2 linked regions of the Drosophila melanogaster genome follow. The gene in region 1 interacts genetically with each later gene. Each region holds a gene or a part of one and is shown in the gene's direction. Other genes may lie near its edges.

The links. A genetic interaction does not mean that the proteins touch.
Region 2: of Mhc (region 1) and rhea, changing one suppresses a phenotype caused by changing the other (phenotypic suppression), as found in Drosophila melanogaster (one study listed by BioGRID).

The regions. Positions count from the first base shown.
Region 1 is NT_033779.5:16,765,032-16,769,743, forward strand, and holds the start of Mhc (myosin heavy chain), read left to right. Parts: upstream 1-1,702; 5' UTR 1,703-1,725; intron 1,726-1,894; exon of another isoform or gene 1,895-2,079; intron 2,080-2,745; exon of another isoform or gene 2,746-2,928; intron 2,929-3,552; 5' UTR 3,553-3,649; coding exon 3,650-3,853; intron 3,854-4,115; coding exon of another isoform or gene 4,116-4,259; intron 4,260-4,427; coding exon 4,428-4,571; intron 4,572-4,712. UniProt on the Drosophila melanogaster protein: Muscle contraction.
Region 2 is NT_037436.4:8,543,093-8,548,002, forward strand, and holds the start of rhea (rhea), read left to right. Parts: upstream 1-1,908; 5' UTR 1,909-1,997; intron 1,998-3,582; exon of another isoform or gene 3,583-3,783; intron 3,784-4,910.

The DNA.
Region 1 (4,712 bases):
CAACAAATAACCCCAAAATAATTTATTGTCAGGTGCTAAATTGTTGTTTGTTGTTCTTGGAATTTGTTTTAAATGCTCAATTTATGTTTTTGTCTTTTTGCCCACAATTCTGCTCGACAATGTCACAGATTTTGTTTCAGAAACTTAGCAAAAAGTATTATAATTTTATATGTGAGAAAAGACTAGAGAGCAGCAAACCCTGCACCGAAAATAAAGGAAAAAAACACTCACACTTGAATGAGAACTGAAATCTTTTTCAAACTATAAATATTCCTCAAAAAATGTTTGAAAGTTGTTTTTGTCCGAATTCATGAGTTGTTTTTTTGCGTATTCTTTTTCCGCTACACAATAATCATTGTTAAATATTGAATATTCAAGACGGACCAACTCATTACGAAAAGTATTTGTCGAAAATACCTTGCAGTGGGTGTATATACATTTATCATATAATTCTTTGCCAAAAATGTTGCACATGAAATTTTGTAATTTTGCTTAAAATTATGAATAATTTCTGTGTCGGAATTTGACATCGTTGTAAGAGGGGAGACTATTTCAATTCTGTTGGCATTTATCATAATTCTCTTTGTCAGCATTATAGATTTGATAAATTCTCGACAAATCGCTACAACACGAATTTCATAATGCACTCGTATTTGCAATCGTATTTGTATTGGATTTTAGCATTGAAACCTAAAGATTTTCGCATCGCATTGCTCTGAAGGACGCCGACTACATTGATTTGATGTGGCATTTCTCTGTCTATCTATCTATATCTAAAGTATCTCTTCAACTATGTGTTTTATTTCGTTTTTTTTGCGTGCATTGCAATTGCTTGCATGTTCTAGCCCATCTATGTTATTTTGAAGTTCACATCATTACTTTTGGCGGACATGTGCTTGCTATGGCCGATCCTTAGGCTAGATAGATCATCAATCATTAACTCAAAGGATCGGGTTTTTTCGTTCTACAACTGAACGATGACCAAACGAATGTTTGTAGCCATTGATAGCATACGATCGGTCTTCTCGAACAGCTGTTTAGCCACTGATCGTAAAGTGATCGCAGATTAGGAGGAAAACCACATAGCGCCGCCTGATCGCAAGCATTCCCCCTGTATTCCACCCACATTGGTGCCAGATCGGATTGGCATTGAGGTGACCAAAAACCAAAACCAGAACAAAAAGCGAAAAATGATCACCGAGAAAAACAAATAAAGATCCCACCATGCCATGCCATACACACATGTGTGCGTCTAGAAATGATATGTGAAATAAGTAAAAAGAAAGCTCCCCTTGGAAAGAGCGAGGGATTCCGGCGGAGAAGAATTGCCTCACGGCGGAAAAGTTGTCATTGAAATGAATTTTACTATTTGACTAATGGGAGAATTGCGAGAGAGCCTACGCAATGGCAATCGTCGGAGAAGGAGCTTTCCGCTCTCGATTCCGCAACGATCCTGATTGCATCATATGCTCACACATATACCATATCCACCATCCCGCAATCCCCCATAGAAATGCCCACTTGCTAGAGAAGAGGAATAGGAATCAGAGCAGCCAAGTGCTAGACCGAAAAAGGGAGCAAGAAAAACCGAAACAGAAACAGCGCCACGCACACCGATCGTCGAATCGAAAAGCTTTCGGGGTCTTACGGGATCCATGGGTATCAAGTTGCCCCGTATAAAAGGCAAGTTTACCGGTTGCACGGTTCAGAACGGCTTTCGAGCGCGTAAGTGCAACACCTTTGATGTGCGATCTCTGATTTTTGGATATTACCACCCAGCAGCAGTAGCGGTAGCAGCAGCATCAGCGGCAGCAGCAACAATTTGACCTTTTGGTCAAAAAGCATAAAACTAAAATAATTATTACTACCTATATATATTTATATATGCAACAAAATCGAGAAATTTAAAAAAGTGTGTGTGTGGTGCTTTAACTACGATCCGAGCGAAAACGGATCTATTAAAACTCTGTGACAATCAGAACAGTGAACCGGAATACCTCGGATTATCGTATCGAATTGGATTACAAATAACAATCTTTTCTTAGGAAGTACATCAGTTACTTAACATAACCTATAGGCGTTAATTTGTTTTCTGAGAAGTATGCAACTATCTTCAACTTCTTGTGTAACAAATCTTTGACTTTCGATCATATCAGCGAAAAAATCTGAAAGTGAAGTAACAAGGATATAAGGAAACTTCTTTCTTACTTTTAGGACTCTCACAAAAAACTAGTTTATCCTTTCTCGCCCAAGAATTTTGGAATAAAAGACTTTCATCGTTCTAAATTTCGACTACTTAAAAAATTCTAAAGCAAATAGATCATTTAAATGTCAGAAAGAGACAGCCAGCTGTTACTTCATCAAATGAAAAATTCGTGTTTCGATGTGAGTTCGAAATGCTGTAATAGCCATTTCGAATTACTGGCGAAATGATTTCATACACAAATACCTGTGTGGCCGAGACATATGCGTATGCATACTATAGAAAATAGATTTAGAATACTCGAATTCGTTGTCGGCTCATATACATGGGCGAAATAATTTCGAATATGTTTTAAAAATAACCAAAGACATTAGAAAGAGATCGCCAATACTTATACATTATGTCTATGTGTGCCATGTGGTAGCATGAGCCAAAAAGCTTCTCGAAATTACGAATTACATATAGACGAATATGTATGTGACTTTAGTTTCGAAATAATTTCGAGAATTTTAAAAATAACGCATTCGTTAAAAGTTCGCGTCAATTCGAATCGAATTTTCGATTGTCGATTTAGTGTGGATTGTCGAAAATCGTTCCGCCTTCGAAGTTTACTGAAAGGAATCATTGCGATCTCGTGAATTGCTTGTATGAGAACACGCCACCATATCGAGATACCTGTTCAAAATATCGAAATCGCGTTCCAAACGGTAGTAGTTACCAGTTGAGTGAGTTGTGGTGACAGTTTAACCTCTCTACATTTGTAATAATAAGCATTGTTTTGGCGTATCAATAGTCTGTAGATTTTTTCACAAAGAAACCTGGAGAAATGTACACAAATATCTAAATGAAAATTGGCGTTACGTAACAAATACCAACGCCCCGAAAATCCGTATATATGCAAAGCATTCTGATATATATATATATAAGTGGTATACATATACATATTCGTATCGGATCCGTGATCTATATTTAGGCGACAACCCACACAATTCACTTGTTGTCTGTTTATAACAAAAACAACAACACAAGCACCGACCAGGCCTAATTAACTTTGAGGTGTGAGATAAAATCAAAGCCACACATAAATAAATATCCGGTTACGGTAACGGGAATTTCGAAAGCGCGAAACGGGAAAAATGTTCATATTTGGAAATCGAAATTAAATTTCGAAATCCTATCCACGCACACACGCGTAGAACTGTTATAGTGTCCGCTATTGCTGCTGCTGTCAAAATGGGTCAAAAGCATAAAATCCATAAAAGAATCAGACTTCGAAACAAAATTCCAAAAATAGTATGCTTTTCTGAGAACCATATAATAAATATTATTTTTCTTTTGTATATTTACAGGGAAGTTTTGGGCTCACGACGCGATTAACAAAGAAATTTTGAAAAGTCCCAATATTATTTTTCGAGTTTTTAAGTTTCTAAACGAAATTTAAGCAAGATGCCGAAGCCAGTCGCAAATCAGGAGGATGAGGATCCCACCCCATACCTGTTCGTGTCTTTGGAGCAAAGGCGTATCGATCAATCGAAACCCTATGACTCGAAGAAGTCTTGCTGGATCCCCGACGAGAAGGAGGGTTATCTCCTTGGTGAGATCAAGGCCACCAAGGGCGATATCGTCTCCGTTGGTCTGCAGGGTGGAGAGGTAAAGTCATCGTCTACACGAGGCTTCAGCATAAAAAAAAAAAAAAAAAAGCTATTGAAGAGTCTTATGGTCGACCTAAAGTGTTAGTCAATTGTTACCCAATGGGAAAATCTTCTTGGTACTACTACTACTACTACAAGAAGGGTTTTTCAATGGATAGCATAAGACTGGGACTTTGTCATGACCTCATACACTTCAATAGCTTATAATGTAGCCACAAAATTAGAATGAAACTATAGATTTCGCCTACATATACGATTAGGTACGAGATATCAAATCCGAGAAGGTGGAAAAAGTCAATCCACCAAAATTCGAAAAAATTGAAGATATGGCCGACATGACCGTGCTTAACACTCCTTGCGTTTTGCACAATCTGCGTCAGCGTTACTATGCTAAGCTCATCTACGTAAGTGTTGTACTGCCAGAAACTCACTAATGTATGGGTATCTCTTCTCTCTCTCTCTCAATCTCAAAAACGAACTGCTAACCCAACGTCTAACCAACAAATGTTGTACAAAAACTAAACATAACCAATCGAACTGAATCCGACAAACCGAACGAAAATGATAAACAGACACGAGACTTAAAGAAAGATCTGCTCCAGCAAGTGAACCCCCCGAAATACGAAAAAGCCGAGGATATGTCCAACTTGACATACCTTAACGATGCCTCTGTGCTCCATAACTTGAGACAGAGATACTACAACAAGCTGATCTACGTAAGTAATTGCCGATCAAGGGTGGCACACAAGTATGCGTTCTATGTTCTTACCCAACCGCTTATCTACCGCCAATCACTCACACTTATGAAAAAAAGAAAAACATCCCAAAATTTTTCAAAATTCGATTAGAGCTGCAAC
Region 2 (4,910 bases), on another chromosome or scaffold:
AACAGAGAAGCAATTACAAATTTCAAGCAATTAGTTCTTTTGAAAACACTCAAACTTCTTGTCATCATAAATTTCTACGTTTTTCAAGTTTTTCTAGTTTTTGTTGTACTTAAAATATGAAAAAAACTTATTATATTTCAACCAATTTATTCGTCTCCAAAGAGCTCAGATTCATCCGCAACTAGAAACCAGAAATGCATTCGGAAAACTACAAACTCAATTAGATGGCCATAAATCTCCGGCAGAGTCAAGAACCCTCTAAATTTTGGTTGATAAAATGCCGAAATTATCACGGCCCAAGCACATGATATATGGGCATTCGGCTTGGCCGGTTTAACCCATTAGCCAGCCGGAAGATCGCTCAATTAGCGTTGCTCCTCGCTGCTGGTCAGTCCCAAGTCCCAAATCCCAAGTGGGTCACTCGAGGAAAGGATTTGCGAATCGGGTTTTTATTTGCCATTACCGAAAACCAAACTCCCTGGCCTCTTTGTTGGGCCAACAAAGTGACATAAATCTTGGCGAGCGCTGGCACAAACTCAACCGGAACTAAAGCAATGACGCAGCAGGAGCACCAGGACACATGTCGATGCGTTCTGCTCATCCATTTCGCTTGCTCCTCCTTGGCCAGCAGTCATAACGGGCGTGTGTGTAAAGCGAGTGTGCCAGTTCCGAGATTTATCGGCCCGAGGGGTGAGTCCATATCTGCACATCCTGCATCTTCTATCTGCGTATCGGTTTGGCAGGCCTCGAATCGCGGGACATCAATGCTCAATGCCCAATGCCCAATGCCGGATGCCCAGAACGACAGGCGTTCGATTGAAATTAATTGAATTTGCGCCCAAGCCACGAACTTGACTTCGTTTCAAGAAATTTCTCAAGCGCGCAGGGGCGGGCATTGTGCACAGAGAGAAATTTTTATATGAAGAATATAGTGTTTTATGTATGAAGGTTTTCTGAAAGTTCGCTTTAAAATGTTTCTCTTGAAATTTCCAATAATTAAATTCAAGTTTGATAGTAGCAAAAGGAATGTTTATCCCCCCCTTTGATAATTTTGCAACTTGTCTTTAATTACTTCTCATTTTTTAAGAGTGTTGCGAAAGAAGGACCGTGGACGCTTGTTTCCTGTTTATGCTCGAGATGTTTTGCAGCATAAATTACGCGTACACATATACCCATGTATTCGCGCATATGATATCCTTGACAAGTCGAGAAAGGAGAAGGGAAAAAAACAGGAACATTAAATTTATTTTTATTTCGCTGCCTTATAGGGAAAGCAACCCCAGTGAAAGGGCCCCCAAAGACGCGCGCTATGTGCGGTCCGTTGACTTTGGCGAAGTCATGAATTCGCTTGCTTATTTTTATGATTTTGGCTAGTTTTTGTTTTTCGGCCCTTAGATTGCTCGTCTATTTTCTGAGGGTTGTAAGTTGCACACTTGGTTGCCCTCCAATCGCCGAAATCAAAACGGAAACGATGATCGTCTCGGAGAAAATTCAGGAAAGCCAGACAAATTTATCAAGTTTGTGTGGGGGTGCGCTTTGGTGGGGCTTGTAACCTTCATTAATCATGTGGATATGTTGTTTTTATAGGATTCGACTACAAATCGCTTAATCTTTAAGCCTTGTTTTAGTTAGACTGCATTAGTTGGGGGTTTTATTTTAAATTTGGCGCTCATGCCTTTACATTTGGGGTGACCCTGCACTTAACAGTCTGCCATTGGCATAACAGCTCTGTGTGCAGACTACTTTTTGCTTGCCGTAGTAATTTCAAATATTATAGAAGTATAGGCAAACTATGATTAGAACTTGTAAATTTATATATTTTTTATTTATTTTGTAATTATGTGACCCAAACGCTAATTGGTTCCGATAGCCGCAATGACTTATCGATAGCTGCTTGACGCACGGTCACACTGTCTTAACTACGGAATATTTTGTAAAGTGTTAGTTTTATTTACTCGATTTTAGCTCTCTTTAAGCCCTTTTCGCCGTGTGTTTCTGTAAGTTAACCAATGTTTAAAACCCCAAGTGCACAAATCAGTTTAAAGCCCCTTTCCCGCGGCATGAAAACGCGTCAAACAAAGCCAGTGGAGATTCAGCTGCGGCCTGGCCAACAAGAACTCATTTCGATTCGTTCGCACATTTTGTTGTTGCCGCCTAGTGGGTGCTCCTCCGGGGTGGAGTCATCATCGTTATCCCTACCCCCAGTTGTTGGCGCCGACTGTCCGGATTTTGGTCTCTCCCACATGTCCCGCACATTTGTTTTTGTCGGTCACGCGAATTCCGCCCTTTTAACCAAGTTTCCAGTGTAACAACAAAAGGGGGCAAAAAAAGGGAACGCCCGCATTTGTATGTTTGTTCGTTTGTTTGCTTGTAAGCATCGTCTACGTTTTATGCTAATTAAAGTGCAACATTTTTTTTTTAGCCAAAGCTGCGAATATAATTCAATTAACGAGAGTCCAACTGCGACTGCCTCGCATTATCAGCACAGCAGTTGGTTTGGTTTGACGGCTTTATCTGAGCAGCTGGATGAGCGTGCAGAATAGCATGGTGTATATGTATATGGGGTACATTCCATACGCGATAAGATAACCCCCGGTTGCTGAAGAAGAAGAAGAAGAAGCGCCGGATTCGCGGGAGTTGGCAATTGCCTTCAATTCTCAAGTTAATTGTGGAGTTAGCTGTGCAACTGCAACCCTCAAAGATCCGAGACGAGGACCCACAAGACTCGTGCCTACATCCCGCTGTCAGTGGCATAGAGATTCACTCTTCCCGGGATCAGGCCCTCAATTGCGTCAATAATTGGACCTAATTGAAGTCAACAGGCTATTATTTTGCCTCCTTTGTTTATGCACGTTTTTGGAAACTGTTGTATTCAATTATTTCAACTGAGATTGAAATTTCTCATGTATTCTGTTTGTGTAAGAGTTTTAAATGCAGATACTTTCCTAAAAAGAGACTGGTCCTGTTTAGATTATAGTATCTATAGAGATTTGAACCCATAAAGATTACGTTAATATTGTTGATTGTTTAGAAGCATTCCTTTTGGGGAATAATCTAGTCCGTCAAAGAGTCATTGATATTATAGATAAGAAATGTTTGGGTCATATAACATCATCAAAACAAAACGTCATTACCAAAACATTTCAAAATACTAATACTTACAACGCTCCAATCGCTTGACTAGCTTAGCCCTTGAAAAGCAGGAGTAATGTCCATTTCTTAGAAAACCCCATGTGACTAAGCGCACTTCCTCTTCCAATTTCTCGCTTCCTCTCTGCTCACTTTTGAGAAGAAAGAAAGAGCCATAAGTTGGGCAACAAAAGATTAGTCACCACTGGCACGGGTCCATCACCTTGTGGCCACTACCTTCTCCTCCGCTGCCCCTTCATTTCACCGCCCTCCCTCTGGCTGGCACCTTTTGTTTTGTTTACATTTGCAGACGGCGATCAGGAGAATCGGAAGAATCAGAGAGGAGAGAAGCCTAGCAGCAGGTGGCTCTCTTCGCGGCTCTCCCATCTGTTGCTCATGCTGCTCACACTGCCCATGGAACCGAGCGAACCACTCGCTTCTATGGCCCGCTCATTCGAGTTTCGTCCGTCGTCGGTGCCAATTCGTTCGATTGTGCCGCGCCCGATATCGCTATTGAAATATATATATATATACATATATCTACCCATATATATGTATAGGCGATTCGTACATATATGAATATCGCATATCGTGCATATCGTTCAAGTTCAAATATCAAAAGAGTTTCCAGCCCAATTGTGGGAATTAAAGAAGGTATATACATGACGAGAGTGCGCGGTCATAAGTGTGTGACATATGGTGTTATTTTTATCCATTCCGAGTGGAATATGTGCCACAAAAAGGCAGTTCCATTGTGTAACTAAGTTCAAACGCCAAATGCACGTTGCGCCTGCGCGATGCGCGCCAAAAACCCATCGGAAAACCCTTTTCCCCATTTCGGATGTCGAGCGTTTTAGAAAACAAGCTGAAAATTACCTCATCGCGCTGCCGGCGCCAGCGTCGACGTCTGCCGTTTGATGTCTGCCCCTGACTACGCTGGTCCACAGAGAAAAAATTTGGATTATAATAGATCACTAGGCTATATCTTATGACGTGCTAGCGAAATCTTAGGACTAGTCAGATTAGCATAATTCGCTTTTCACGATGATGCTTTTTTTTGTATTTGTATATGGATATAAACCTGAGCAAAGGGTTCCATTCAACAACAATGTATAGTATTTGATTATGTAATCAAGAAGTACTGCATTATTTATATTACTGTTTATCAAAAAAATACTATATTATTCTCTGTGTACACAAACATATAGATATTTCATTCTATATTTCTTGCTTGCCTAGCAGCTGGCGGCTGGCCTCCCACTCCCCTCCTCCACAAATGCGATTTATCTTTAAGATACAACGTACGCTAAGATTTGTTTGGTATCTGTACGTAGATTTATTGTTTTTTTTTGTTACGCTCTTTCCTCGCTCTTCTCTTCACCGATTTAAATATCTCGCGTCTTTCGATGTTTTGTCATAATTTCTCTGGCTTTTGTCCTGTTTTCTACACATTTTTTGTCCGATTGTTTGGCAAATTTCGCCGTCGCTCCATTTTGTGGGCGTATTTTGTATATTATTTATCCATTATCTCGAAATGTCAATGCGCTCGTTTAAAGCTGTTGTTATTTTCAGTCTCTCTCACTTTTTCGAGCGTTTCGACCTTATTAGCAGTGGGCTTCGGTTTTGGAATGCCCGCCACATAAACACGCTTCGGAAACATAAAGAAATCGAGATCGGAGCTCATTTTCACTCCATGCTCCACTGTGTGGGCAGTGCATCGGCTCCACATCTACCAAATATTTCGGACGTAGACGTGGGGACGCTCAGCATCCGCCAAGATA